Linked DNA regions of Lonchura striata. The main gene of each other region encodes a partner of the protein of the gene in region 2 in a complex. Links are inferred from orthologs where the notes say so. Each region holds a gene or a part of one and is shown on either strand. Other genes may lie near its edges. The genes, in order: MLST8 and MAPKAP1.

Region 1 (14,982 bases), on a different chromosome or scaffold from region 2:
GGGCTGAACCAGCCCTTGATGGCACTGGAGAGGCACGGGGGACTTGGGGGCACGGGGGCCACCGGGGAGGGGGAGCTGCACATCAGGCAGGTTCCCTCCCATGGAAATTCAGGGCCAGAGGCACCAGTGCCGCTGCTGCCCCCGCTGTTACCTCTCCTCCTCCAGTGCCTTGAGGATGCTCTCCTTCAGGTGCCCATTAACCTGCTCCACCATGTGGTAGATCTCCACACCGGGGAACGCTCCCCTGCCTTCGCTGGGGAAAGGGAGGAGAAGGTGAGGGCTCGGCACGTGGGGTGCACTGAGCTGGATGAATCCCAGCACCCTGGCAGGTCTGGGACCAGGGCATTTGTGTGACCAAGCCTCTGCTTCCCTCCAGTGCATCCCTTCTGACACGTGCACGCACCAGGTGCTCTGCTCCAGCTGCACGCTCTCCAAGCCCAGCACATCCAGGACCTTCCTTTTTGCCTCTTCTGTGAAGCCCCCTGGGAGGGCGAGGAAAGGGACAGAAGAGCCAGGGAGACGTCACCATGGGGCTCTCCCCAGCTTCACACACCGCCGAGGCTGAGCGAGCTGAATCTCTTCCTCCTCCACCTCCCAGCTCCCCCAGCGCCCTGCCCAGCAGGGTGGGTTGGGCAGGCAGGGGGAGCTGGGGGTGAGCCCGGCCGTGCCGGGGGGCGGGGGGCTCACCGTTCACCAGGGTCTGCAGGCAGATGGCCAGCGAGGGGATGCTGACGGGCAGCAGCTCGCAGAGCACCGAGTAGTGATCGTACCTGAGGAACAGGGACAGCCACCACCGTGCCACCACCGTGCCAGCGCGGCTCTGCGGGCACCGGGAGGGCACGGGGGGGTCCCACCACCCCTCACCTCTGCCAGCCGGTGAGCACCACGCCCTGCAAGCGCAGCGGGGCCAGCCGTGGCACGGCCTGCATCACCTTCAGCCAGCTCAGGTGGTTTTTCAGGTGGTAGCTCAGCGGGGTCCAGGCCTGCGCCGGCCCCGTGGTGCCCTTGAAGGCGCTGGCGAACCAAACGGCCTCGAAGCCGCTCTCCACGTACTTGGCGAGGAACTGCTCTGCAGCGGGATGGGCGCGAGCCACCAGTGCCACTGTCCCCAGGAGGCTGCGGGGGGCTCGGGTGGGATCCCCCCAGCACCCCCGGGAGCCCGGCACGTCACCTTACCGATCTGCTCAGCCTCGAAGTCGGGCGCGTAGAACCACACCACGGGTGAGACGTGTCTCGCTATCCCGGCCTCTGCGGGGACGGCAGCGAGGGGACGTTGGTGCCGGCAGCAGGAGGGAGCCTCGGGCTCCTCACGCTTCCCCCAGGGCAAGGCGTGGGCTCCTGCTGGCACCGGGCACGATGCCAGCCAGGGTGGGCACAGAGCGGGTGAGGCTGAGGAGCCTGGCACAGGTGCCACCAGTGATGCCCCTGTCCCCTCACCCCGCAGGGCTCCCACGCTGATCTTCCTCAGCATGTCGTCCCACATGAGCACCCGCAGCCCCCAGTACTGCGCCGTGAGGAAGCCCAGAACCTCCTTGATGTGCTTCAGGTACATGGTCCCCACGTCGCCCTTGTTGTGGCTCATCCAGTTCTTGGAGTCCATCCCCTCCCCGAGATGGAAAACCTGGATTTGGGGGAAGGGAGATGCTCAGCAGCCCTGGGAGCACCCCCAGAGCCTGGGGTGAGCGCTGGGGTCCCCGCAGAGCCCCTGCCCACCTCGTCTGCACCGATGTGGATCCAGGTGGAGCGCCGGTGCTTCTCGATCACCTGGGACAGGATGCTCTTGAGCAGGGCCAGGGTGTCAGGGAGGTGGGGGTTGAAGCTGTTGGGGAAGCGCTCGACCTCCCGCAGGTGCTGGTACTTCTCGTGCTTGAGGATGAACTGTGGGGAGGAGCCCTCAGGGGGGTGTCCAGGGGAACCCCTGGGATCTGGGATGGGGAGCGGGACTGGGACCCTCTACCTCCACATGGCCAAAGGTCTGCACCAGGGGAACCACCTCCAGCTTGTGTTGCTCCGCCAGCTGCTGGATCCGCTCGATGTCCTCCTCGCTGGGAGGGCAGGGACAGGCTCAGCGGGGGATGCCAGGGCAGAGGGCACAGTGTGGGGGCAGTTCCCCTTCCTCCCCCTCCTCTGGCACCCTACCCACATGGCCCCAGTTGCCCCACATATGTGTGCACTTTACTGAAGGGCACAAACATTGACCTGTCAGGGCAGGAAGAGCTGCTGGTGTGCCCAGCAGCACAGCCTGGCACTCTGACCGCGGGTACCGTGGGCACGGCGCCGGGTGGGTCACACCCAGCCCCTGGCACAGCGGGACCCGAGGGGGCCGCAAGCCCCACGGCCAGCTCGGCACACAGCCCTGCTCACCTGTAAGCGTACGGGGACCTGAGGATTTCCAGCTCCCCCTTGAAGGGGAACATGTCCTCGTACTCCATGAGGACGCCGTTGGCTCCCAGCTGGGACAGGAGGGGGAACACCTGCAGGGTGGGCAGGGTGGGCTCAGCAGTGGGGATGGCACAGTCCAGGTGCCAGCAGGGCCGAGCCCCGTCAGTGCATCCCCGCCTTGGTCCCCCCTCCCTGTCCTGGGCATCCTCACCTGTTCCAGGTAGGAGACTCTGGGCGCAGCTCCCTTGAGATCCAGGTGGACCAGCCTCATTTCAGTGGCACTGACATCCCTGGAGACCTGCTGCTTTTGCTTCAGGGTCATTATCTTTGCTGCAGGGAGCTCCAGAACCTGGCTCTGGGGGATGATGTCCTGGACGACGTCACCTGTGTCCCCCCAGAACCCGCTGTCCTTGCTGACGTGCTTGTGCAGCTCCAGGGTAAAGCTGCAGGGAGTGGAGCAGGGGTGGGGGTGTCCGTGGGGTTATGGGGGCACCAGCTGCCCCCAGCACCAGGCACCACACAGACACAGCCCAGGGGGTGCCACAAACCCCGGGCTCCCCCCCCGGGGTCCTGCTGTCACCTCACCTGTCACGGAAGAGGAACTTGATGCCAGCCAAGGCAACGAGGAGCAGCACGACGAGGCGCAGCAGGTTCAGCCGGTGGCTCCGCTGGAAGGCCATCACTGGGACCTCTGGGGACACACGCAGGGGCTGGTACTCCGTGGCCAGCAGTGGCCACGGAGGGACCCCCAGCACAGGTGAGCCCACCCAGCCCCACGTACCGAGCCCTGCTGCCCTGCCCGCGGCAGCACGAGACCCAGAGAAGGGCGACATGGGGGCAGCCCCTCTGGCCAGCCTGCTGCCCAGCGGGGACGTGTGGCAGTGCCCCGAGTGTCCCTCCTACCTCGTGTGCCCCAGCGCGGGGCCAGAGGCCGGCTCCGCCTCTCCCTCTGCCCGCACGGGTGAGGCCGGGGCCGGGGCAAACAGGGCGGTGGCTGCAGGGCAGGTCCCCACCCGGGATCCCGGCCGGCTGCCGGTCACCCCCGGGCCAGGGCCGTGTCACAGGGCGGCTGGGTGGGCCGGCATCACGGGCTGGGCACGGTGCATCCCTGCGGGTAGGGAAGAGGTGATTGGGAGCCACCCGGGCACATGCCAGCACCGGGCTGCACCGGGATGGCACCGGCACGGCCGCGGCACTGGCACGGTGAGGGTGGCACCCGCAGGGCCCGCGCGAGAGGCAGCACGGATCCTCCTGGGAGCCACATTCAGGCACTTCTGCCCCTTCCTTCTCCTGTTTCTCCGGTTCTGGAGTGTTCGGGGAGGCCCGGCCAGGGCAGCGCAGCCCCCCCGGCCCCGCGGAACCGGCGCCGCCGCTGCCGCCAGCGCTCCCGGTGAGTTGCCAGCCAAACACACCCGAGCTCGGGGTTAAACTCAGCTCCTCCGGCAGACTGGGGAAGTGAAAAGCAGATTTTGGCAGCTGCGGGTGCCCAAGCGGCTCAGCTGATCGCGAGGGTTTTGTTTGCGTTACCAGAGCGCGGCGGCACCGGGGAGAGCCGCGCTGAGCCGCCCCGCGCCCCGAGCGAGCCCTGGCCCAGACACAGCCCCGGTCCCTCCCGACACGGGGGCTGAGCCCCCCGGAGCCCCCCGGCAGCAGGAGCTGCTGTGCCCAGAGCACGAGGCCCCAGCCAGGGCACAGGGCAGGACAGCGACGAGCAGTGGCTGGAGCATCCCCGCTCCATCCCCACGGCCCGGTGCCCGCGGGTACCCAGTGTCTCGGTGCCCGTGGGCAGGAGGAGGAGCAGGAGCCGGATTTTGGGGAGCACTGCACTCCTTCCCTCGTGGCACTGCAGCTCCTGCGCTGCGGGGGACAAATCTGGTTCCCGCTCCCTGCCGTGCCCAGCTCGGGATATTCCTGGCAGCTCCAGCAGGGATGTGCCGGGCTGGAGATCTCTGCCAGCCCAGGGGTCACCACTGCGGGCACGGAAAGGCACCGAGGGCACACAGGACGGGGGGCAGTGGCCCCTAGGCACGCAGCATGGGGAGCCCAGCACCCAGAAAGGCCATAAATATGCCAAGTGCTAATGGCGCTGTCATGGGAACACAGCGCCTGATCGGAACAGGGATAAATATTTAGACAGACGCTGTCAGCTCGCCAGGATTGGGTGTTTTTAATGCACGTTATCTTATTTAAATAGGGCAGGTTCTCAGGGCAGGAGCTCCCTGGCACTGCCAGGGCGAGGGACGGAGCGGGGGAGTCCCGAGGGGTGCCGGGGCAGCCGGGGCGCTGTCCCTGCGCCACGGGGACACCCCGGGGCAGCGAGGGCTCGGCCCTGGATGCCGCCCCTCGAACCGGCAGCTGGCCGCCAGCACCGGCTGTATTTGTGACCTCGCGTCCGCTGCTGCCCCGGGCCCGGGAGCTCGGGGAGCCCGCGGCTGGCACGGGCGGCCAGGCTGGCTCCCGGAGGGGCGAGAGCAGCCGCAGCCCCGGCCCCCTCCCTGCCCCCAGGGTGGGCTTTGCTGCCAGCCCCCGGCATCCAGCCCCGCTCACCTGCCCGAGCCCCCAGGAGGGGAGGGTGGACGCAAACAAACCCAAACCTGAGCCCGGAGGTGGCAGTGGCCGTGCTGGGGAGGGAGCCGAGGGTCCCGGGGGTGCCACTGCGTTCCGTGGGCAGGCAGCGAGGGTTTCGGTGCCCCCCCGCTGCCCGCAGCCCCGCTCCGGTGCTCCCCGGTGTTTCCACGGCGAACCCCCGTGCCCCGGCACCCCCGGCACCCCCGGCCGTGGGGCAGCCGTGCACGCTCACACACACGTGCACACGCTCACCCGCTTCCAGAGCATTCCATGGCCGGCCTGGCCGTGCCCAGCCCGTGCTGCCAGGCTGTGCCACCCCCCGGGACGAGCTGCCCCTCGCCAGGGGTGACAGGGATGCAGCCCCACAGCCGGGGACTGCTGCGTGGGGAGGCTGCAGGTCTCTGTGGGGTGCAACCCCGGCGCAGCAGGAGGGGGCTGCTCCCTCATCCCTGGGCACAGCTGCTCCCTGTCCCATCCCTGTCCCTCCCATGGAGCAGCCTCTGGGCACAAGGGACCCTTCCCACAGCCCACCCATCCCTCTGTGCTGCGGGGCACCCCCCACACCCCACAAACCCGGCACACCCCACAGCTTCCCACACCAAGGACACCTTGGGCACTCCCGCTCTCCACGGCACCCCTGAGACCCCGGGCACACCGGCGTCCTCCGCGGGCATCCCTGCATCCTCCCGAGCATCCCTGCATCCTCCCGAGCATCCCTGCATCCTTCCCGTGCATCCCTGCATCCTTCCCGAGCATCCCTGCATCCTCCCGAGCATCCCTGCATCCTCCCCGGGCTTCCCTGCGGCACCGGGGCCCTGCGTCCCCCCGAGCATTCCCGCATCCTCCCGGTACCGGTCCCCAGCACGGCGCCGCCATCTCCCGGCCCCGAGCATCCCCCGCTGCCCCGGCCCTTACCGGCAGGTGCGGGGCGGCCGCGGGCACCGCCGGGAGCGGGCACGGGCACGGGCACGGGCACGGCCGCCGCCGCCGCCGCCGCCGCTCTTAAAGGGCCCGGTGCCCGCCGGTGCGGCGAGTGAGGAGGGACGCACCGGGCTCAGCGGGCACCGTGCCCAGCGCCCCGGTGCCACACGAGCGCGGCGGGAGCACCGGCAGAGCGCGGAGCCGCTGTCCGCCCTGACCGGGAGGCACCGGCACGAGGGGCGGCCCCGGGGTGGCTCCGCGGTGCTCGGTGCGTGCCCGGTGTTGGTTCCCCGTTCCCGTTAGGGCCCGGTGCGTGCCCAGTGCCCACCCCCGCCCAGCAACGCCCGGTGTGTGCTCTGTGCCTGCAGCCCGGTGTGTGTCCCGTGTCCCATGTCCCATGTCCCGTGCCCCGTGTCCTGTGTCCCGTGCTTGGTGTGTTCCCAGTGTGTGTCCCATGTTTCATGTCACAAGTATGTGACATGAATCGAGCGGATCCAGCAGTGTGTGCCCTGTGCCCAGTGTGTGTCCTGTGTCCCATGTCCCCTATCTCATGCCCCACATCCCATGTCGCTTGTTCCATGCCTGGCATCCCATATCCCATACCCCATACCCCACATCCCATATCCCATATCCCAAATCCCAAATCCCAAATCCCACACCCCATATCCAACACCCCAACACCCATACCCCAACACCCATACCCCACATCCCATACCCCACATCCCATACCCCATATCCCAAATCCCAAATCTCACATCCCAAATCCCACACCCCATATCCAACACCCCAAATCCCATACCCCACATCCCACACCCCACATCCCATACCCCAAATCCCAAATCCCAAATCCCAAATCCCAAATCCCAAATCCCAAATCCCACGTCCCGTTTCCAGCACTGCGCCCCCTGGCGGCGCTGCTGCTCTCTCCCCCCGCCGCGCTCCGTGGTCTCGCCCGCCGCTCCCCCCGCGCCCGGGCCATGGTCCGTCCCTGTCGCCGCTCCCGCGCATGCGCGCTCCCGCCGGACGCTGCGCACTCGGGAGGCGCCGCGCGCACGCGCAGAAGCGGGAGCCGTGAGGGCACCGGGAGCGGACCGGGAGCGGACCGGGAGCGGACCGGGAGCGGGGCTGAGGGAGACCCGCGGGCCGCGCCGACACCCCGCGGCGTGAGGGCGGCCCCGCAGGCTTTAGGGAGCCCCCCGAGCGCGGCGGGAGCGGCGGCACCATGAACGCGGCGCAGGGCACGGTGGGCAGCGACCCGGTCATCCTGGCCACGGCCGGCTACGACCACACGGTGCGGTTCTGGCAGGCGCACAGCGGCATCTGCACCCGCACGGTGCAGCACCAGGACTCCGTATCCTTCCTTCCGTGCCCGGCGCTCGGGGGCGGGCCCGGCTGATGCTCCGTACCGACCTTAACGGGACCGCAGCAGGTGAACGCGCTGGAGATCACGCCGGACCGGAGCATGATCGCGGCCGCAGGTGCGCGCTCCTGCCGCGCCGGTGCTCGGCCGCGGTGCTGAGCCACTGTCCGGTGCCGGGCTGCTGCCCGGTGCTCTGCCCCAGCCTGGAGCTGAGCCTCTGCCCGGTGCTGAGCCGTGGTGCTGAGCCTGTGCCCGGTGCTCAGGCACTGCCCGGTGCTGAGCCGCTGCCCAGTGCTGAGCCGTGGTGCTGAGCCTCTGTCCGGTGCTCGCAGGGTACCAGCACATCCGCATGTACGACCTCAACTCCAACAACCCCAACCCCGTCATCAACTACGACGGCGTGAGCAAGAACATCACCTCGGTGGGGTTCCACGAGGACGGCCGCTGGATGTACACGGGCGGGGAGGACTGCATGGCCCGCATCTGGGACCTCCGGTGGGCACCGGGGCTTCCCCGGCCCGGCAGCCCCCCCGGGAGCCCTGAGCACCCCTGTCACACATCCCACAACCCCTGAGCACCCCTTCCTTATTCTGTCCCAGGTCCCACAACCCCTGAGCACCCCTCCTTCATTCTGTCACAGGTCCCGGAACCTCCAGTGCCAGCGCATTTTCCAGGTGAACGCTCCCATCAACTGCGTCTGCCTGCACCCCAACCAGGTGAGGAAGCTGCCTCCTCTGGGGTTCCCAGCTCAGAGAATCCTGAGGAACAGCGCTTAAAGCTCATCCCATCCCACCCCTGCCATGGCAGGGACACCTTGCACCATCCCAGGCTGCTCCAAGGCCCCTCCAGCCTGGCTTTGGGCACTGTCAGGGATGCAGGGGCAGCCCCAGCTGCTCTGGGCACCCTGTTCCTGTGTCACCTCTGGGTAAACCTGAGGGGCTGCAGAGATGTATCCCAGCAGAAGATGGGGTACAGCACAGCATGGGCTGGGGGCTTCACACGATGTGTTTGTGCTGCTGACCTGGTGGCTGTTGCAAAGGGACAGCACAGGGGCTGCACTGAGCTCATCCCACGGGAGGAAACGCCCTTGCAGTGGGCCCTGGGGATGTGATGGGAGCAAAGCTGGAAGAGTGAGGGCAGCTGGGGAGCTTGAGGGTGACAACACTGCCAGGGAAAAGCATCCTGGGGCCTTTGGCTGTGATTCCCTTCAGGTGGGGTTTGGTTGAAGTTCCCCAGTGGGTTCAGCAGCTGTTGCTGAGCAGAGGGAGAGCGGGGGCACTTGAAGAGGCTGAAGAGAGCACGAGCAGGGAAATCAATAGGGGTCAGTCAGTGCTAATGGCTGGGCTGGGCTTGCAGGACTGTGGTTTTTCCTGCCGACCATCCAAACCTCTCTAAAGTCCTGAGTCATGGAAATGTTCCCCTGCGTTTCATTTGGCAAAGGTTTAATTTTGCAAATCAGGAATTTCAGGCGAAATTTGAGATGGGTTATTTGGAGCAGACTACCCAAATCATGTAGACAATCCGCTGTCTTGTAGTGTCAGTGCTGTGAGAGTGTGTTGTGTTAAATGAATGTTGCTGAACATAGGTCTTTGATGTGAAATAATCCCTGAGCACGGTGCTGCTGAGGTGCAGAGTGCTGGTTTGTGAGCAGAAGATGGATAATTAGACCAAAGGTGGCAGCATTTGTTCGGGCAGTTCCGTGGCTCTGCAGTTCCCTCTGCAGAGATGCTGATCCAATTATCCAGAGATTCCTCACGGTCTGAGTAAAGCCATGAAAACTTTGGACTCATCATTTACACCTGCTGAGAGGGGGCTGAGGAGCTCAGAAGAGACTTTTGTGCAGTCAGATAAATGCATTGAGTGGTGTCTGTCTCCTTGGAAGCAGCCTCTGCTCCCAGAGACAGGATTAGCTGTGCCTGATGACCTGATCTCCTCTAGGGATTCTGCTAAAATTATGGACAGCGCAGGGCTGTCGATAAAGGCCTGCTCTGAGTGGAGACATGCCAGCATTGTCTTCTGCCCTGAGCACGGGATCAGAGCCAGGACTCCTGCCCTTGGCTCTTGTCCTTCCCCTGAGAAGGGGGGAGAGAGAGGAAAAACCCACTTCGGTTGTGTTTTTCTGGTATCTGCACCCTTGAGTGCTTCAGTTGTTCAGTGGCCAAGCTGCCCCTTACTGCTGCCTCTCAGACGTGCTGAAAACCACTTGGCTGCTGTGGGTGTGCCACAGCCCTGGAACCAGGACAGCTCTGTTTGCTCTGGGGTTTAGAAAATCAGCAAGCCCTTCTGGGGAGGGAAACAGCCTTTTTGTAGAGTGTCACGGGAGTCAGTACCCGGCTGGGATAGGCAGGGTGTGAAACAGCCCTGAGCTGGGGAGGGAGGAGGCAGGACAGGACCGTGCTGCAGTGGTGCTGCAGGGGCACTGTCACTGCTGAGGCAGGGCTGGGAATGATGAGACTCTTAAGCTTAGAAGGTAAAGAATGAACTTTATTAACAAGTACGTTTCTCTTTTATAGAGAACTTTGTGACAATTAATTTCATTGGTCTTAATTGGTCTTTCATTGGTCATTTTACACTATTGGTGTACTATGAATAGCACATGGTGGTAGAACATATCTACAATCAATATGAACAGAAAGAGAGATAATAGATAATTTAAATTTCTCTTGGACTTTTTCCCAGGCTTAGCCTGGTAGAAATCTCTCATTTTCTCTCTGATGCAACTGAGAATATCCATAGGGCACGACGTGGGTGCCAGCTCCAGGCTGCTGCTCACGGTGCCCACAGAGACACGGCCGTGTGCCCTGCAGGCAGAGCTGATCGTGGGCGACCAGAGCGGGGCCATCCACATCTGGGACCTGAAGACTGACCACAACGAGCAGCTCATCCCCGAGCCCGAGGTGTCGGTGAACTCGGTGCACATCGACCCCGATGCCAGTTACATGGCGGCCGTGAACAGCTCGGTGAGCTCCCCGATGGGCTGGCCCGGGCAGCCGGGCTGGGTTTGGGTGGGCATCCAGCAGCCCGGGCACAGCTCCCGCTGTGTCTCTGCAGGGGAACTGCTACGTGTGGAACCTGACGGGCGGCATCGGCGAGGAGGTGACGCAGCTGATCCCCAAGACCAAGATCCCGGCGCACACCCGCTACGCCCTGCAGTGCAAGTTCAGCCCCGACTCCACGTGAGTGTGCAGCCCCTCACCTCCCTCCCAGGGCAAACATGGGCCTTTTGGGGCAGGCAGGGGCCAGCTGTGCCTCCAGCTGTGCCTCCAGCTGTGCCTCCAGCTGTGCCTCCAGCTGGCTCCACACTGTAGGTCCCCAGGGAGGACCAGGACAGGGGGCAGGGGATGTGGCACCAGGGGGTTGCTGTCAGGGGTGTCCCACTCATGCTCCCTGAGCTCAGCAAAGTTTGCAGCCATGAGCTGTTCTGCAGCTGCTGCAGTGTGAGCTCCTTCCCACAGTCTGTTCAGCTGGAATCTGCTAAATCAGACTGTAAGGAGATCTGATTGCAATGGGAGCAGTACTCCAGGCTGGCACTGGCCCTGGCCCAGCTCTGTGGCAACCAGAGGCCCACAGGGGGACAGTGACTGATGAGGTTGCCCTCAGATGTCTCCTTCTTGCAGGCTCTTGGCCACCTGTTCTGCAGATCAGACGTGCAAGATCTGGAGGACTTCAAACTTCTCTCTGATGACAGAGCTGAGCATTAAGAGCAACAACCCTGGGGAGACATCCCGGGGCTGGATGTGGGACTGTGCCTTCTCCGGGGACTCCCAGTACATCGTCACAGGTGAGGCACCACCTGGGCTGTGCCAGGGCTCTGCAGCAGCCAGGCCTGCCCACTTACCCTGGCTGGGACATGGCCAGAGCCTGGGGCACAGGGCTGTGAGGTGGGAGCAGCCAGTTCTGCTGGCTGGAGCATTTTGTGCTGCTGCAGTGGGGCAGCTGTTGGAACTGCAGAGGAGAGCTCCAGCTGTGCTCTTCAGCTCCCAGCTCCCAGCCTGTTAGTCCCTTGACCACACCTGTGGTCATTTCCACACTCACTGCTCTCCAAAAGAATGAAACCCCAGAGAAATGCACTGAGCTGCTCTGCCTTGCTGGTCATCACCAGCCCTAAGGATGCCTGCATGAAGCAAGAGCAAAAATATTTCTTAGAATAATAGTAAAAAAAAAGCTTAAAAGGTAACATATATCCAACTCTTCTTTTCACTCTGTGTTCCAGCCTCCTCTGATAACCTGGCCAGACTGTGGTGTGTGGAGACAGGAGAGATCAAGAGGGAATACAGTGGCCACCAGAAAGCCGTGGTGTGCCTGGCCTTCAACGACAGCGTCTTGGGATAACAGCCACCTGTGGCAAGGACAGGACCTCTGCTTGTTTCCCCTTGCCAGACCCTCTCCAGAGCCTGGGACATGCTATGTACCCATCCCCTCCTGCACGGAGAGGGCTGGGGCTCTGACAGGGGCAGCTGCACTGCCTGAGGTGAGACCAGGCTTCAGCTCCAGGCAGCACATTGCTGAAACGTGTGTGGGAGGGAGTGGGACAGGGAGGCACGGTCCCACTGCAGGGACATAGGTACAGTTCAGCTGCAGGAATCCCTGGGGCATTGGCTACTGACAGCTCTGGATGTCCCTGTACCCCAGAGTTGGGAAAAAATAAAAGTCAGCCTTTGCCAGTGATGGGAAAGGCTGAGCAAAGAGGAGAAGCAGCTCTTGTCTTGGTTTGCAATCCCTTTATTCAAAGTGTTTCACAGAGTGACTTGGAGAGCTGCTCTCCTAAAGCCAACCACCCCCCAGATGTAACAACAACCACCTTGTGTTGAACAGAGCCTGGAGCCCCAAAACTCCAGCTGCTTCCCGGGATTCCTCTGGGCCTGGGTCTCCTAATTCCTATGGACGAGGCACAGCCCTGGAGCAGAGCTGCAGTGTCTGTGCTGGCAGTGCTGAGCAGAGGCCTCCTGTTTCTCTAAACTCTCCTGATCCTGTTTCTCTAAACTCTCCTGACCCGCAGCACGGAATCAGCAGGAAGCTCTGGGGATGTTGCAGGTGTTCCCTTCCTTGTGGAAGTCAGAGGCTTTTCAGGAATCCAGTTCAAGTGTGAGGGCAGAGAGGGCGGCCGTGGCTGCAGCACTTACTCGGGCAGGTAATAGAAGCAGATGGAGACACAGATGTTGCTGGGGAAGCAGATGTCAATGCACAGGTAGATGAGGCGCTGCTTCCCCGGGCCTGCCAAGGAGCAAGGACAGCAGTGAGAGCAATGCTTTGGTCCTGCAGCTGCAGAGTCCCCGGGGATACTTTGCTCCTGCAGCTGCAGAGTCCCTGAGGATGCTTTGGTCCTGCAGCTAGAGTCCCTGGGGAGCTGAGCAAGGGGAAAGCCTCAGGCATGACCTTTCTTACTCAAGCTGGAGTCAGATGGAGCAGGCTGACAGCTCAGCAGGCTGCTTTGGCTGAGGGTGAAGATGACAGGGATTAACCAGCGGTGTCTCAGGGGACAGCTCTGTGTGCTGGCTGTGCTGTGCTGCTGGGCAGCTCAGAGCCCATCCCCGTGCCACGGCTCAGGACAGGGGGTGGGTACAAGCCAGCACTCAGGGGTGGTGAACAATGGCCTGATTTTGTACTAGAGGTCACCCGTCCCTGTCCTGGGCCTTGGCAGCCTGTCCTGGGCTGCATCAGCTGCTGTGCAGCGGAGCCTGATCCTCTTAGAGGTGCTAGAAAAGCTGCTGCTTCCCCTGCCAAGGGCAGTGCCCCGCTTACCGTGCCCTCTGCGCACCCAGAAGATGGAGGTGTGCTCACACAGGGTCTGCACAGCCTCCCCCAGGCCCCTGGGCTCCAGCTGCTCCCCTGCCACAATGCCCAGGAACTCCCGGTAGAACTTGGTCTGGTTGTTGGGGTGCAGCAGCTGCTCAGCCTGAAAGAAATGGCGCTGCTGGTTCCTCACTTTGTCCCTCAGGCCCCAGAGCCCTGCTCTGGCTCCCAGGGCACCCCAGGCGTGCTCTGCAGCCCAGCAGGTTTCTCCTGCCAGCTGCCCTGCCCCAGCTCTCATTTTCTGTCTGTGGGTGCTGGCAGCCCCAGCACTACCCACTTTTACTTCCATTTAGGAGCCTCAGGGCTGGGCAGGTGCTTTCCTCTCCCTGCATCCCTTTTGGGAGCCTGTGTCCCTGCACTTCTCTGGGAGTAAGGTGAGGACCAAGGAGCCCCCAGGAGCTGCTGAGGAAATGGATAGCAGATGGCAGGGGCACAAAAAAATGTGGCTTTCTGTCTTCTGGAAACGGAATCTGCCCCTTCTCAGGCATCCACTGACACTTTGTTCCGAGGGTCCGTATACATGATTGCCTCCAACTTTCTTCCCTGGGAGTTGGTAACAAACCCCCCTTTGTTTTTCCTCCCCCAGATTTTTGAGCAGGTAACAGAATCCAGTGGGAGCAGGTGCTGCAGGAGCCCTGCTATTCACCTCCATGGGACACATCCCCCTGCCCCAGGCTGCTTCCCACAGGCATCAGAGTAGGGATAAACCCAGGAGCTGCTGCTCACAGCTGGCTGAGAGCCCAGCCTGGGGGCACAGCTTTGCTCCTGTGAGCAATGAATCCCTCAGAACAGGGGCTGCCACTGCTCCCCCCAGCTGGGAGACCCCTGCCCTGGCTCCCTGAGGGTGGAGAGTCACTCCTGCAAACCCACAGAGGGGAGAACGCTCAGCAGCCCTGTGCAAAGCTCAGCCCATCCCCCAGCTATCCCGGGAATGCTGCAGCAGCTGCTCACGCTGTGCTCAGAGGTGTTGAGAGCTGTCTGCAGGGTCTGCAGGTCCCAGGGGTCCATCCTCCTCAGGTAGCAGGCTCGCTGCTCCAGCGGCTTGTAGCACACGTAGCCCTGTGGACAGATGTGCCCCTTGGAGCAGGCAGCACATGCCCACCCCTCTCCCAGGAAACCCCCAAAGTGTTTCCCCTGCTCTGTGTTCACAACTAAAGGTGCAGAGGAAGGCAGCAGAGAGGAGCTGGGGAGGCAGAGGTGCCCCAGCACTCACGTTCCTGCTGTCGTACAGCACCACGGCGCTCAGGTTGCTCTGCGAGGTGATGTAGTAGGTGACGGTGCTCCTGGCCTCGTCCACCACGGCAGTCTGGTTCCTCAGCAGGTCCTGCTGGCCCTGGAGCGTCACTCGGAGGAGCTGGGAGCCAGCCTGGGCATGAGGGGCGGGAGGGCAGCACCCAGCATCAGCTGCTCCCTGTGCAGCATCTCCCCCCAACACCCCCAGCTGGCCCTGGGCTGGCCCCTGCTCCTGTCTGATTCAGCCGTGGAGAGGAGGAGGCTCTGACCCACAGCTCCTCACCCCCAGTGCCCCTCGTGCCAAGGGCACCAGTGCTGGAGGAAAGGGCCAGGGGACTCCCAGCCCTGCCTGCAGCCTGCCAGCACCTCCCTGCCTTGTCCAGGGGCTGATCCAGCCAGACTCGGCCCACAGCTCAGCCCACCCATCCCTCCTGGGAGCTGCTTCCCACACAGCCCAGGGCTGCAGGAGGGAGGAGGCTTCCTGCCCAGATCAGGATCCCTTACCTGGGCAGAGCTGGGGGAGAAGCTGAGAACCCCCACGACAGTGACACCAACGACTGCAAAAAACAACAAGGCAACGGACAAGATGATCCAGAAGGTCCTGGAGGGAGCTGGGAAGTATGCTGTGGTCCTCCTGTCCTGGGACATGGAGCAAAAGGAGGAACAGGAGTTAAAATTGACCCTTCTGCCAATTCTTCCTCATCAAACAAGTTTCCAGCTCATGC
Region 2 (15,598 bases):
ATTGTTCCATCAGAATCCTCTGGTGCTCCGGCAGGATGGAGGGTTATAGCGTGTTTCTGAGAGTTGTTGGCGCTAAACGCGAGTTTACAAGCGCAGGGGAGTTGGAATTCGTGCAGGGCAGGGCAGGGTGGCTTTCCCAGCCCCACGGCGCCGGCAGGGGCTAACACCTCAGCTCTGCCAGGGCCGGGCAGGGGCAGCGCTGCCCAGCAGTGCCCTGGCCGCGGTTCCAGGCTGCAGCACATCGACAAGGGGCGGTCCTGAGCAGCGGCCAGCTCATCAATAAGGAGCTGTGCAGCCAGGCAGGGCCCGCTGCAGCCCTGTCATCACAGGGACGGCAGCGCACGGCTATTTACAGCTGCGGCGATAAAAATAAAGGTAACTCACACGGCAACAGCCAGGAGTTAACCCCGCGGCCAACACGCGGTCTGTCTGCTTTTCAGAGATTTTTTATTCATTCTTTAAAACAAAAATCTATGCAAGGGGAGAACGTTCTTAATGAACATTTTCATCCTCTCTCTTTAGACATAAAAAATAGTTGCAGCAGCCCGAGCAGCCGAGCAGGCCTTTCGCTTCCCCTGCGGACACCTCCTGCAGTCGAGAAGTTCATTAAGTTTTATGATCTTCCCAAGTCAGTCCTGCTTATAAGCCTCACAAAGGCCACAAATCTGGCAAACCATCATGTATGCCATTAGGCTTTACTAGGAAATGAATGCTATTTAGGGGTGGTGGTGACAGTAAATTCGGGGTTGGTTGGCAGCTATCATTGTTGCTGCTGGACTTGGGGAAATAAATAAATAAATAAATAAATAACTATAGATGTGTGCACAGTTATGCACATGAATTCAGACATTTTTATAAACCTGTGATCCTGTCTCTGTAAATGACTTTTAAAGACAAAAAAACAAATTATCTATCAGCACAGTCCAGGACCTAATAATATGTTTCTCCATTGGGAAATAAATGCAATTCCCTAAGACATTTTAAGACTGCAAGAATTAATATATTTTCACTTCTTTCTCCATAAGAATAACCAGGACCCCAGGTTGAGCAACATCCTGGAGGAAGCTTAATAAAATCACCAGTCTGAAGGTGTTTCAGTCAGTAAAAAAGAGCTATTTAAAAAAAAAAAAAAAACAAACAATGGTGCAAATCAGTTTTTGATTCCTTCTGGTAGGATGTGAGGAAACAGAGTGTGACACAGGTATGCAACAGATGTGAGTGTGCGTCCAGTGACACCTCGGAGAGCAGGCAAAGCACAGCCAAAGGGAGCCACTGCCTCCTCACTTGCTTATCTTCCTATTTTATTGGAGGGGCTTCGGTAGAACTCTGCTATAATTTTTCTTTGAACTAATTAAAGCCAGAGGTGGCAGTTTCTTTATGAACACCATGCTACCTTGTGGTTGCCTCTCAGAATACACACAGCTATTAATAGTTGTAAAGCACTTAAATGTATTATGCAGCACTTTTGAAAATGTTAAAATGTTAAAAAAGAAATGTCAGGCTAAATTCAGTAACTCAGTGATTTGCTTTGTACATGGTAAATACCTCACAGGGAGAAAAAATAAAAATCTTCAGCTCCTGACCCTGTGTGAGGCTTTCAGAAATGAGATGTATCCATTAACCCTTGCTGGGAAGTGACAGAGTGGCTCCATGCAAACTGAGGATTCCTTCTCATGCTCTCTCCCAGCCAGTCTCACAAAGTCCTTGCTGACTGTACTGAAAACTACTAAAATGCAAATAAATACATAATTCAATATAAAAATTACTTAAATACCGCATGACTTGTTTCTGAACAGACATGACATCCTTCCATGGAGGAAGACAGTGATGAAACCACCATGGCAATTCCCACACCCAGGAAAACTTTGGTTCTGATCAGGAAGAATTAAACGCCAGCACACGACCCCATCGGAGATAGGTTTAAGCACCTGACAGTTGTCAGACCACAAGACAATGCAGAGCCCTAGGCAGAGAGGGGGACACCTCTGCCTTAACTGCATCTCAGACCTTTCCTCAAGCTTCCAGTTTAGAACTGAGCTGTTCCCTCCGAGAACAGCTTCCAGAAAACAGGCTACAATTTATTTTCACGTTTTCTTTGCTTTAGCACACTAAGTAAAGCCTGCACAGACATTTCACTTCAACTGGGAGACCCTGAGTGAAGGTCCCCTTCTGGGAAGAGTTTTTGGTGGAGGTGTGGATCCATCTCCATCAATCACTCAGAGCATTAATCGCGTCCCTCCCGTGATGCCAGGGCTGGCAGGAGCTCGCCTTTGGGCAGGCAGACGCCTTCACTCTTTGTTGGTTCTCAGCGATCTCACAAAAGAGGGATAACTTGAAAACTTGCTCGACTTCTTGCAGCACAAATGCAGCATCCCAACGTACAAGTTATCACTGAAACACCCCAAAAGGTTTCAGACCACAGAGTCTGTCGTCAGGTTCCCCCTCGCCTGCGAGACGGCGGCGGCCTCACAAACACCCTGTGCCAGTAATCCCACTGCTGAAAGGACTGGGGCTTTCTTCGCAGCTCACCTCTGACATGTGCCTGACTACGCTTGCCTTTCAAAACACTGAGGCTAAGCCCTCTGCAAATAAAGTGACCGCGGGACCTACGCCTGCCTCCTTAATTGAAATGTGCTCCTGCAAATGTCTGAACACCGAGGGCAGGTTGCTCTCTGGCTCCGGAGCAGGACGGGCAAAGAAGTTTAGGGAAAGGCAGGAAACAAACACACAAGCCAAGGAAAGGGGTTACGAGCCGACCGAGGAGGAACGTATATAGGTGGGAAGGGAGAGGGATCATTCCCCTTATCCCGGGTAATATAATGCAACATAAAGCAGAATCAATCTTAATATTCACAACACAGTCAATACCCTAGTGCTTAGCTGTCAGCAGGAACTGAAGTGGATCCCCGGTAGCAAAGAAACCCTTGGACATAAAGCACCATAATTCACAGAGAACCGCTCACTCCAGGCTCCACAGCTCAGATTTGCAATGATTTCACGTTGGGTTGTTTTCATCCAGTTTTATTTTTTCAGTGTGGAATTAAGCAGAACGTTACTGAGTATCACATAGAACTAAAAAGCCAGGCAATGGCTTAAGCTGTATGTGAATAATTGGCTATTCATTTTTAAATCCAGTCATAATAAATGTTTTTGTTATTGTTAAATGTTACTATTGTTAAATTTTATTATTCTCATTATTATTATTTTCATTAAATGTTCTTGTTCTCGTAATACAAAGCAGAATACTTTGTAAATTTTCTTCTTTAAACAAACAAAAAATTCTATAAATTCAGTGATGTGAAAAAATTGCAAAAAAAATCTCCTAGATCACCCACAAGAAAAGCACGGAGTTTATTTCTGTCGCGTTAATGTAGACGAAAAAAAAAAAAAAATACCGGACTTTGGAGATTTTTGAGAATTTTGGCGTTTAAAAGCCCTGCGCCGGGAGGCGCCGGCGCAGCGCCGGGCTCGGGAGCGGGGTCGGGGCGCCCTCGGCGGGGCCGCGGGGGCTCGGCTCGGCGCTGCCGCCCCTCGCGGAGCTCCCGGTGCGGTGCCGGGGTTAAACCCGCGGGCACAGCGCCGCGGGCTGTCCTTCACACGCCGCCGGACGGCTCGGCGGGGCCGGCAGCGGGCCCCCCGCGCCATTTCGCGGCGCTGCCGCCGCCCCCCGGGCCGCCGGGCGCCCCCGGCCCCCGCCCCGGCGGCGAGAGCGGCCCGGGCCCGGCGCGGCGGCGGCGCTAAGATGGCTGCGGCGGCGGCGCGGCGGCCCGTACCTGTTTTCTCCTTGATCTCGCAGAGGACGCTGAACAGGGCGGGTTTCATCCTGTGGCAGTTCAGGGCGTGTTTCCTGCAAGAGAGCACAGGACAAGCGGTTAGCGCCGGGCTCCGGCAACATGGCGCCTTCCCCGGGCCGCTCGCCCCCCGGCCGGGGGTCCCGGGGCCGCGGGCGGCGAGGGCCGGCCGGAACCTCCCTCAGCCCGCTTCGCTTCGTGCGAATTATCTTTGTGCAAACACCGCCCGAACGAGGGGGAAAAACCACCCCCCTCGTCCCCGTCCTGCGATATTAGACCTGATTTATTAAGGAGATTGGGGAGAGGGGGGGGGAGGTGTACAGAGTTAACATTGTTTTTGTATTTATTGTGATTGAATAGAGCCGGGGTTTGGTTCGGGCTTTATTCACACACACACACCCTCTCCTGCAGCAGTATCTGGTCAGATTTATAATTCATCTGCTGCCGCTTTGAGACAAGAAAAGAAAGAAAGAGGCAAAGTTGTACTTTGAGGGATGGCCGGACGGACAGACGGATGGACGGCGGCGCAAAGGCCGGTATCCACCGGGCAGCGTCCAGCGGGAACGGGCAGGGACCAGCCACAGCCTCCCGCGCACCACACCGACGGCAGAGCCATCGCATACTTCTACATTTATCATAGCTTTTTTTTTTTAAGGAAAGAAATCATTAAATAGCAACTTGGCTCTGCCTTGGCTGCTGGCAATTTCTCTTACGGCCCCAAGAAGTTGCTCTTAATTGTGAGACTCCGGGTCTCTGCAGAGGAACAGGAAGGAGAGAAACAAAAACCACACACACACACCAAAAATAATTAAAAAAATAATAATATTAATAATAATTTTTTTAAAAGACAAGGTTTAATTAGACGAAACCAACTTTGCTTGTGCCTCATCCAGGCTTTGGTCAGTGATGGTCATGATCTGATGGAGGATGTCGCCGATGTCCTGCTTCCTGCCGTCGCCGTCAGCCCCTTCGTGTCCGTGGGGAGGCGGCAGGGCCATGCCCCCCTGCACCGAGTGCCCGGCCAGGTTCACGCCGGCCAGAGTCTGCAGCATCCTGGACTGATCGTCCATGGCTCCGGGCCGGGCCGCGCTCCGGGCGGTCACGGCAGCGCCTGCCCCGCTCAGTCCCAGTGCCGCGCTCCTGACCGCGCTCTGCACACACACCACGAAAAAAGGGAAACAGGAAAAAAAAGCCAAACAAAACAGTAACAAAAAAAATGTAGTATTTGTGTTTTGACCGGATCTCAGCTGTTTATTCCACTCTCTTCTCCTTCCCAGGGCAGTAAATCACTCTCTTCTTTAGTTACAATCTTCTTTCATCATCATCATATTGGTGCCTCGGATAAATGAGCTGAGCAGATTTCTGTGAGATTTTCCTGGTACAATCTTCCTCCAAAGCTTTTTTTTTTCCTTTTTTATTTTTATTGTTGCTTTTTATGTCTTTCCCCACTTGTCCAAAAATCTTCTTTGCAAAAAGGCAAAATTAAAAAAAAAAAATTAAGTACAAAATCAAAAAAACTCGCTTTCAAATCCTTCAGAAGTTGGGAGGGTGCAAACAGCAAAAACCACAACAAACCAGCGAACACCCCCACCCCCAAATTGCAACATAAAAAAAGCCAAGAAAACACAATCACAGAGGGAAAAAAAAAAAATTAATCGCCCTCCCCCCCAAATAACAAACGATCCCAAGTCTGTGCACGGGGGTGAGACAGCAGCAATCAAAAGTTTGAACTTGTGCAAAGAAAAGAGCGGAAATAACGGGGAAAGAACTGTAAAAAAATTAATTACACACTCTCTGCAAAGCAATGTGCAAAAATATCGGCCCGCCGGAATTTATGAGCCCCGCGCCCGGTGCCCGCGCGTGTTTTATGTTGTTTGATGGCCGCTCCGGTGAGGGATTGACAGGCTGCCAACGCCACTCACTCACCGCAGACGTGTCACCCTGTGAAGGAGCCGAGCGGCGCGCGAGAGGGAGCGGAGCGCCGGCCCCGCCCCGCCCGCCGGCCCCGCCCCGCCGGCCCGCCCCGGCCCGCCCCGCCGGCCCGCCCGCCCCGCTCCGCGCGCGCGGCCCTCCCGCCGGGCCCGGCGGCGCCCGCGCTCCGGGGCGGGCGGGAGGGGCCGGCCGAGCGCCAGAGCGACGGGCACGGCGGCCAATCGCCGCGCGAGGCCGCGGGGGCTGGCTGCGGCCTTGGCCAATCAGCGCCCGCACGGTGGTGCCGCGCCCGCCCGCCCCAGCTCGGGCCCCGCCCCGGGATGAGGAACTTGTGATTGGGCCGTTCGAACGGCGGCGTGGGCGGGGCGAGCGGCCCGGGCCCCGCCCCCGTTGCCGTGGTGACGGCGGGCCGGTCCCGCCGGGCCGGGCCCGGGGCCTCCCGAGCGCCCGGGCCCGGCCGGGCCTGCCCGACGGAGCCCCGGGGCCTCCCGAGCGCCCGGGCCCGGCCGGGCCTGCCCGGCACCGGCAGCGGCGGCCGTGCGATGGAGCCCTGCGCAGGATGAAGGGTCCCGGGCCGGTCTGTCGCGGCCCGTGCCCTGAGCGTGTCCCCGCGGAGAGCTGCGGGACAGGACAGGAGCCCTCGGCACAGCCCTCGGCTCAGGGCCTGCGTTACCGCGTGCAATTGCAAATTATCTTTTTGTAAATGTGCACAGAACCGCGGAAGCGGGAGGAGGAAAAGGCACAGGCAGCAAGGGTAATTACGACTTCATTCCCTTAGGATGTTACATGTAGATCGTTGCCACCTCCTCAGACTGTCCTCACGTGGGACACTGCCCCGTTCGCTCCTGCTTCCCTCAGGTTGGGCCATTTTGTCACACTTCGGGTAGAGCCACGGTTAAAACCATCCTTAGTTTGCTTTTTGTGCTCTGTCTGTGGCAGACAGTCTCAGTGGAGCCATGCCCGCACCCAGCCCTCATCCCCTGACCTTCCTGGTGGTCTGGCTGATGCCTCAGGCTGGCATCAGAGCAGAGCTGCCAGCTCGCCCCAGTCCCAGCTGGCAGCGCCATCCCTCACCTTCACTTGGGCCTGGATGTCACCGGAGCCCTTTACCTGGCTGGGGCCTCGGATGGCTGGTGCAGATGGAGGTGGCTCCTGGTCAACAAATCTGTGCGCTCACCGTCCCCCCATACAATTAGTAAATTCATTCACATTTCAATTACTTTACATCTTAACTACTCCATCATTGTCTGTCTTGAGCCAACGAGTTTTCAGGGTCATCCAATTTTACTAAGAACACTACCCCAAAGGCATTTTAAATCGGTATTTTTGTGAATATTTCACAGATGCACTTGCCCCCTGAGGGTGAAGTGCCACGGATGGAATGGGCAGATCCCCTAGCCCCTGACCCTGCCAAACGGGACAGGGCTCCCTGGCCCCTGCAGGGACCTGCTCAGTCTCACTGCATCAGCGGAAAGCTGCTCTTCTGGGTGATTTTGGTACTGTTTCAGGAGGCTGAGTCCAGTCACCCCAGAGCTCTGGGCTCTGCCAGCTGCAGCCAGGCACTCCTGTGACATGCCCTGTGCTGGGGCAGCTCCAGCTCCTGCCCTTACTGTGCTGTTGCCAGTCACTGGTACCTGCTCCTCCCGGGCCTTGGTGGCACTTGTGCCATGCTGTGCACTGTCCCTCTCAAAGGCAGCTGGTTTGCGTTTGTGCAGCTGCTGAGGCTGCCACGTTAGGCTTTCCTCAGGGATGAACAAGTCTCCTTGCTTGCACAGGAAACTGCGGAGGCTGCACCAGCAGGTCTGGAGAGGTGACAGGGACACAGAGCCAGCAGGCCAGGAACAGGCTCCCTGGGAACAGCTGGGAGCACCGGCAGCTCGGCTGTGCGCCCTGCTCAGCCCCGGAGCAGCGGGTAACCGGGGACACTGCTGACGGCCCGGGCGGCGCTCGGTGCCGGTCCGGGCACACTGACCCGTGTGGGGTTCATCCCCTTCGTGTCTGTACTTGCGTGCTTGGCCTCAAATCACCAAATAAACACAAACGTCACCGTGCTTTTAGCAACACACTGGCAATAAAGCCAGTGCGACCCCCGTGAGAAAAGCGTCCTGTGTGCTGCCGTGCGGCACCGGGGAGCGCCGCTCGGCCGCGGTGTCCCGGTACCGGCGCGGGGCATCCCGGGCAGGGCGGCTGCGCCCGCCGAGCCCGCGGCCCGCTGCCGTGCCCGCGTGCGGCCCGCGCCGCCGGTACCGCCGGTGCCACCGCCCCGCCCGTTCCGCGCCGTCATTTCCGCGGCCGCGGCGCTTCCGGGTCCCGCGGGCGCCCGTTCCGCCGGACCCGGACCCGGAAGCGGCTGCGCGGCCCCGCGGCGGCGGCGCCGGTAAGTGCGGGGCGGGGGCGGTGGTGCCGCGGCTGCCCGCGCTGCCAGTCCCTCGCCGGGCCCCGCGGGATGCCGTGACCGGCGGCAGCGGCTGCCAGCCCGCCCGGGACGCGGCTCGGGCACCGGGGCTCCCGGGGCGCGCGGGCGGGGCCGCTCCCGCGGCTCTCCCGGCGGCGGGGCAGACGGAGCGGGTCCGGCCGCGATGGGCGGCGGGGCACAGGTGAGTGCGGCGGGAGCGGCGGGCACCGGCACGGTCCGGCGGGCCCCCCGGGATGCCCTGGGCGTGCCCGCACTCCGCGGCAGCGGGAGGCACCCGGCTGCCCTGGGGACTCCGGCCGGTACCGTCTCTCCATCCCAGTCCCGTGCCCTGGGGGCTCCGGCCGGTACCGTCGCTCCATCCCAGTCCCGTGTCCCGGCTGCTCCTGCCGGCCGCGGCGAGGGCTCTGCCTGCCCAGTGCTCCAGGTGCGCTCTGAGCAGCATCGCACCCGAGTGCCGTTCCGCACCGGGCTCCCGGTGCTGCTCCCGCTTGCCGGTGCCATGGGAACTGTGAACACCACACGGGAGCGGGAAGGTGTCCGGGGGATGCAGCAACGAGTCCGTTTCTGTGCTAGTGGAAGTCTGGTAATTGACTAACCAGAGATGCCAGAGCCAAGCTTGGATATCCTGTGTGTGTTTAGCCGATTTTAGGTGTCAGGGAATTATCAGGTACATGCAAGACTGGGAATTAGACTCTCTCAGTTACTTTTCCAAATTCAGAACAGCTCCATTCACGGACACTTTTTTGGGTTAGATTAAAAATAAATTGGGATCAGCATGTACGTACATATAGACTTGTACAGAAATAACTGAAGCAGGGAGAACCAGTTTAGCCAATTTCTGTATCAGTAATGTTTCACATCTTTGTTGTAACACCCTTTCCTCATCTGTTGGTTACATTTTCACCCATTGCAACATGTAACAAATTTAGAATAACAAATAACAGATGTTAAAATAACAAGTAACAGCTACATTCTTGTTGTGCGTTTCCTTTGGATCGGAGAAGGCCTCTGCAGGTGGAGCAGCCTGGCACAGGGATCTGTGTTATGCGTTCTGTAGCACGAAATTTTCCCGGCCATTCGAAGTTGTGAGCGTGAAAAGCACACACCTGTATGGAAAGGTCAGTTATGGCAACCAATGGCACAGCACATGGGCAGCGTGCTGGCCACATCCCCAGGTAGGAGCAGCCCATCTCCCACGTGGTCAGTCTTTTTGGAGATCACACAGTCACTGAGGCTGGAAGAAACCTGTGAGATCATCGAGCCCAGCCTCTGACTCACACCCCTTGTCAGCCAGGCCGGAGCACTGACACGTCCAGTCTCTCCTTGAACTGCTCAGGGCTGCTGATTCCACCACGTCCCAGGGAGCCCCTTCCAACCCTGACAGCCCGTGGGGTGAAGAAATTCCTTCTGATGTCCAAGGGCAAATGGCACTGGCTGAGAAGTGGGGGTGGAGCTCAGGTGTCCACATTTGCTCCCATTCAGGTGCTGGAAGGGGCAGTCTGGAGCTGAGGAGCAGAGCCCGGGGCTGTCAGTGCTGGTCCCACTGCTGGGACTCCCCGCAGGGAGGGGCTGCCTCAGGGGTGGCAGCAGCTCTCCAGGGCGTTTGTTAGTGCCTCTGACACGAACTCCAAGTTGTGTTTAATATTAACTCTGTGTGTGTGTGAGCTGAGGAGCTCCATCAGACTGTGATGCCTTGTTGTTCACTGTCTGTCAGCTCAGTTTTATATCCCAGACTGCAAAAGGGCAATCCCTACCTTGTTTGCTTATTGCCTGAGAAGTGTTGTATCTAAATCCATTATCCTGAGAGCAAAACAAAGCTCCTTGAATATGTTTTGTGTGCTCTTGAAAGAGACAGACCCAAATTTAAAAGCCAGAGAAACGGGGGATTCATCTTTTGCTGAAGAAATGTGAATCTATTCAGTTTCATTTGACATAAAGTCCCAAAGGGACTGAAGGTCTCAGGCATTTTTAAGGAGGTCTGATCATGAGTATTTCTTAAGTCAGAAGCAGCTTGCATGCTGCTATATTTAAAAAATAAGATATGATCATGTTTTTAATGCAATAAAAATATTTATGTACACTCAAAAGTAGAATGGCAACAACCTAAAGAAACTGTCTGACAGAGACCCAAGTGTTTGTTTTGACAGGTGCTGCTGTTTAAGGCACAGCCCCCTGCCTGGCAGTGTCAGAGCAGCCTCCCTGGTGCTGCTGCAGAGCAGTGCAGTGGCTGTGCTGCGAGCCCCTGGGCTGGCTGGGCCTGCCTCGTGTCCCCAGGCTCTGTCCTGGCTCCAGACAAGGCAGATTCTATGAGCCTGGGGGCCTTTTGGGTGTAAAACCCAAAGAGAGTAGCATCTCTCTCAATAGCAAACAGGCAAAAAGGTAAAATGGTGAAGCTTTCTGGTTCGGCATTTTTTATTTTTTTAAGATTGAAGCTTGTATTGATGTTTATGAAATTTATTAAGTTTTTTAGGTCCCTGAATATCACACTGAGAATTGTGAAAATAGAAGCTCTAGTCTGATATTCAAGCACTCCTAGCCTGTGCTTTCATTCTCCACTCTACAACAAGATATTTTGTTTATCACAGAACCCAAGAGTGGTTTGAGTTGGAAGTGAGTTCAAAGCCCACCCAGTGCCACCCTGCCCTGGCAGGGACACCTTCCACTGTCCCAGGTGCTCCCAGCCCCAATGTCCAGCCTGTCCTTGGGCACTGCCAGGGATCCAGGGGCAGCCCCAGCTGCTCTGGGCACCCTGTGCCAGGGCTGCCCACCATCCCAGGGAACAATTCCCAGTTCCCAATATCCCATCCAGCCCTGCCCTCTGGCAGTGGGAGCCATTCCCTGGGTCCTGTCCCTCCATCCCTTGTACACAGTGTGTCTCCATCTTTCCTGTAGACTCCCTTCAGCTGCTGGGAGGCTGCATTTAGGTCACTCCTGGGCCTTCTCCAGGCTGAACAAGCCCTGTTCTCTCAGCCCTTCCTCATAGCAGAGGTGCTCCATCCCTCTAATCATTTTTGTGTCCTCCTCCAGACCCGCTCTAGCGGGTTGATGGCCTTTAGGAATGGTCAAGCTCAGCAAACTGTCTTTAAAGCAATTTAGGCATATGAGTGGCAGAAAGCGTTCCATGGAAAAGCACCTTTGTTGCAAGTGTTCCTTCCCAGCTTTCTGTGCAAAAGCCCATCAGCTTCACCTTCTCCTGGACAGGGATTGCTGTTCCCCTGGAAAAGAGTGTTCAGCAGAAATAAAAGTGAAATTAATGTTACGTGTTACTTACAAGGCCCTCTGGTTTTGTTTTGTTGTTTTAAAGGCAGCAGCAATTAAGCCTCAAACAGGAACTCAGACACTCAGATATTTTTTCTGGCTAGCAATTCTCCCACACACGTGCTGTGAAATTGGGTCAGGGGTTCTGGGGGTGTGGGTCACCCCAGTGTGACACTGCAGCTGTGCTGTGTGTCAGGAATGCCTGCAGACAGCATGGGAAAGCAAGCTCAATCAGAGACAGTAAAAATGAAGCGAGCGTTTGCACGTTCTCAGATGAGGCAGAGCCGGGCAGGACGCGGCGCTGGGAGCGCCTGGATCCCAGCGTTCAGCACAATATCTGAATGAAAAATGACAACACTTTGTCATCTGTTCAAATTGATATTGCACTCTCGGCTGTGACAGCTGAAAAGGCCCACAGGTGCCATATAAAGAGGTGACCATGTTGTCATATTTCATTTAGGCATCCCTCTGCAAAGCCATAATTACCTAATTAGGTTGTTAATTAGGAGATTAGCATTTCGCTATATTGATAGAATGCTCTTTGCAGGCATGAGTCTAGATACAGATTTGTCTGCCCTAATTTATGATCTCTGCATTTTTTATACTTATTTATTTGCTTAAAATCTTGATGCAAGATTTCTCAGGTTAGCAGAGAGTCAACTTGTCTGCAATTAAACAAAGATTTGACATGATCAGGAAAGAGAAGAGTGAATACTTCCCATACATACCCCAGTGTTTTTCCCACCTCTAAAGCTCAGTAATTAAAATATTGGAATTGGTGTCATTTGCATCCTGATTAGTGTGACAACAAAAGTATAGCCAAATTCCAAGCAGTTCAAAAATACAGAGCTAATGCCAGATTGATTTACAGGTCTGTAAATGAACAAATAATTTGTTGGAAGTTGTGTGTAATATAGTATTTGCTCATCATAACGTCCCAATTCCAGTCTCTCTTGTGAGAGAGCCTCTTTATATGACTGTAAATGATTATTTCCTTTTTAATGATAGGACTAGAGTGTGAGTGACAGCTTCTGCAGATAAGTATTCACTCTTAAATGCACTTGAGCTTTTGCTGAAACAGAAACTTGAATGTTCATATATTTCAGTTCACTTTCCTTTATCCTGCCTGCCCAGGACCTGTCTGTGTTTGAGGGGGTTGATTATTTTTGCTGCTGCAAATGCAGATAACCAGAACCATTTCTTGTGCAATTGCATAGAGAAGTTGACTGGGAAATTATTTCATATAACCTGAATCATAAATTTTGAAGTATGTTCATGCTGTCCTGCTTATATGACACAGGGGGGAAAATCAATTTTTAATTCTAATCTGCCTATCTTTTTTCATTAGTTTTTAAAGATCACTTTGAAGAGCTACAGTCAAGGAGGTGTTTGAGTACAGGGACTATGGAAGGCCCTGAATGATAACATGACCTGCATTGGTATATAATTTTTCCAGATTGCCATGTTTCGAGTTTGTTAGCATTGTCTTCAATCCAAATTGTACCTTCCACAAGTTGTGTCTTTGGAATACTTTTTTTTATTTTGAATAGGGCTTTAAATGTTTGTTACTTCCTTAAGGAGCATTGTCAATCTAAACAATATTAAAACAAACGAACAAAAAAACGAAAACAAGCTACAGCTTTGCAGAACATAAGGAAAGAAGCTTACTTTTTTAATTTAGAGAGGAAGATACATGGCAGGAATTGGCTTGAGAGTTTTGTGGAGAATTTGGAACTCCTTTTAGCTATTTGAAATAGAGAATTCTTAAAATCATTCCATTAAAATTGGTGGAACTTCAAAGTTGTAGCTCTTTCCCGCAGCAGAACATTTTTAGCTGCTGACAGCTTTCTCTGATTTTATTGTTTCTTGTAGCTTATTTAGAGGTCTGTGTATTTGAAAGCATGAAAAGCAAAAATATCAACCCTTCACTTAAAGAAAATATTTCCTGTAAGATGCCATAGAAAGGTGGCCCTGGCTTGTCATGTTAGGGCCACGTCCTGAAATGACATGTCAGATATGTGCTGGTGGCACCACAGGGCTTTTGGTGGAGCTGCAGATTCTGACCTGGAGCCTGCGACCTTTTGGGGACAGGTACAGGGCGTGGAAGTGTCTGTTGGCTCAGGTGTCACCTCACCAAGAGAAATACATAGTTCTGCTGGAAAATGTGACAGGACCTGCAGGAGGGCACAGGGCTGGGGGCAGTGGGTGGCAAAGGGGGGCCTCCAGCCATGGAGGTGAGACACGGCTGCCCTGGCTCTGTGCTGGTGTGGGGCAGTGACAGGGACGAGCCTCCTTCTGCTGGGCAGTGGGAGCAAGGCACTGTGTCCTCAGTCCTAATTCCACAGTGTTCATTTAAAAAAACCCAGGAAATGCATGCCAAACCAGCTGCATTTTCCCCAGCGTGAGGAGAGCTGCACTCAGCATTTTTCAGGCTCAAGGTCAAACGTTTCCCCTGCACAGGGCTGAGCAGGGCTGGCACGTGGCTGCAGTGCCCCAGTCAGTGGGTCCAGCACGGAGCCTGGCTCCAGCTGTGCCTGCTGCTGCCTGCGCTGGCAGCCGTGGGAGCAGGATGGATGGGGGGATGGCAGCCAGGAGGTGTAGCTTGTCCTTTCCCCAGTCTCACACTTGCTTTGATATCTCGTTGTCACCTCATGCAGGTGAACGTGCAGGTATGATACTCTGCGTGGGGCGTTTGGTGGGGAACCAGCAACGCCAGCCAGGCTTTATTTAAATAATTGCAGTACACCCAGCGAGCAGGAGGGTCACAAGAACAGTTAACGTGTTGTGATGATGAAGTTGCCTCCCGAAATTCAGCTGTGTTCAGCTGTGTGTTTAAGGTACAGCCTGCATGGCTGCAGATCCTTTTCCAAGACCTTTGTGTCACCTCCTGGCAGCGGAGTCGTTTGTTAGCACGCTCTGCATTCCTCATTGTGTGCGGGGTTATGAATGAGCCTGATCTGCATAAAGGCTGCTTGCCTCGCTGGGAGAGCCCGTCCCTGCCATAAATACAGCCGTGGGGTGCTGCAGGAGGAGCACTGCTGGTGAGAACAGGAGATGCGGCTGCCTGATGCTGCCAGAGTTGCTGAGGATCCTGGCCAGGCGTTCGGCCTCTTGATGGTGCAGTTGGACATGGTGGGGATGTTCTGTGGCTGCCCCAGCCCAGTGGGGCTGTGCTCCCCAGGGCCTCGGGCCAGGGCACAATCACAGCAGTGGGGAGAGAGAGCTTTCATTCCCAGGGTGCTGGTCAGACAATGTGCAGAAAGCTAGATAGGTGAATAATAAAGACCAGTGAAGATCTCTGTCCACTGTGTGATGATCATGGATGTTTGCCAATCGGTGCATCATGGAAACCCCAGCCTGTGTATGCTGTTGTACAGAAATACCAAACTCTACAATTTTGGGGATTTCACACTGCTCTCTTCCATTTTAGTGTTTGCACAGAGTATGTTTGACAGCTGCCTGCAAAGTGCTTTATTCAATAGAAGAGTGTTATTTTTATAGTGCAAGTATTAGAAGAACATTTATTTTTGTTTCTGATTAAAGAATGTATAAGATCTGATGCTTTGAAGGTCCCTGACTTCTGTTACATTCTGAGGATGTGGTGATGGTGTGTGGTTGCAGGAGTGCAGAAGGGGTGTGCTGGCAGATCGCAGCAGATCGAGACATTGATTTTGGGTCTGTGATTTTGCTGGGACCTTCAAGGTGTTTGTGTAAAGGTTTGCAAAACTGAACTTTGCTTCTTTGTGTTCTTCTCTCTCAGTGGAGGTCACTGTTCCTCATAGCATGTCTGTGCCTTTTTATCAGCAGGAGAACTGGTTAGAATTCTGTAGGCTACAACTACTAAATATGGCATCAAATTTGGGGGTCTGAACTTTTTATTTGTTTGTTTTTTGAAGGGTATTAACTGTTCAGAGAGTTTCCAGCTAGCATTAATATGTTGATAAATGAGCTTTAATGTACCTTTTTGAAAATTCTGAAGAGGAGGAAATAAAAATATGTTTGTGTTAAACTTGTGTAGAATTTCCAGCACTTTCTCAGTGTTGATGTTTATGGGAGAGGCAGTTGCACATTACAGTTGGGAAGAAGCTTGGCTGATTTAGCACACAACTGTTAATGGCAGAAGTCGGGGTGCAGAGTATAAAGGTAAAACTCTCGCATCTGCTGTTACATGTTGTTAACTCCCTCAGCAGACATTAAATCA

The links.
Region 1: the proteins of MAPKAP1 (region 2) and MLST8 are in contact, whole or in part, in a cryo-EM structure (PDB 7PE8), measured with the Homo sapiens proteins. The link is inferred for Lonchura striata from reciprocal best matches to the Homo sapiens genes MAPKAP1 and MLST8. Residues at the interface, in NP_001006618.1 of Homo sapiens: Lys102, Cys103, Lys104, Asn105, Ile106, Gln107, Trp108, Lys109, Arg111, Asn112, Ser113, Lys121, Leu123, Phe124, Glu125, Lys126, Lys127, Ser128, Leu129, Gly137, Lys138, Gln139, Ser140, Ile141, Leu142, Val144, Arg145, Leu146; in NP_001186102.1 of Homo sapiens: Ala29, His30, Pro77, Ile78, Ile79, Ser80, Tyr81, Asp82, Gly83, Arg98, Arg110, Ile111, Trp112, Gln120, Cys121, Gln122, Arg123, Ile124, Asn139, Gln140, Ala141, Leu157, Lys158, Ile203, Glu206, Ser279, Gly280, Asp281, Gln283, Asp322.

What each region holds. Positions count from the first base shown.
Region 1 is NC_134618.1:17,029,416-17,044,397, forward strand, and holds MLST8 (target of rapamycin complex subunit LST8), read left to right. Parts: upstream 1-6,947; 5' UTR 6,948-7,093; coding exon 7,094-7,222; intron 7,223-7,297; coding exon 7,298-7,349; intron 7,350-7,563; coding exon 7,564-7,726; intron 7,727-7,871; coding exon 7,872-7,947; intron 7,948-10,038; coding exon 10,039-10,191; intron 10,192-10,282; coding exon 10,283-10,407; intron 10,408-10,848; coding exon 10,849-11,012; intron 11,013-11,444; coding exon 11,445-11,563; 3' UTR 11,564-11,925; downstream 11,926-14,982. Other genes in the region: hexosaminidase D, read right to left, coding at 1-42, 152-253, 404-482, 688-770, 865-1,069, 1,177-1,248, 1,438-1,621, 1,714-1,878 and 4 more; BRICD5 (BRICHOS domain-containing protein 5), read right to left, coding at 12,351-12,445, 12,974-13,127, 13,976-14,083, 14,238-14,390, 14,762-14,896.
Region 2 is NC_134624.1:10,799,879-10,815,476, reverse strand, and holds the start of MAPKAP1 (target of rapamycin complex 2 subunit MAPKAP1), read left to right. Parts: upstream 1-8,018; 5' UTR 8,019-8,100; intron 8,101-8,255; exon of another isoform or gene 8,256-8,320; intron 8,321-15,598. UniProt on the Homo sapiens protein: Component of the mechanistic target of rapamycin complex 2 (mTORC2), which transduces signals from growth factors to pathways involved in proliferation, cytoskeletal organization, lipogenesis and anabolic output.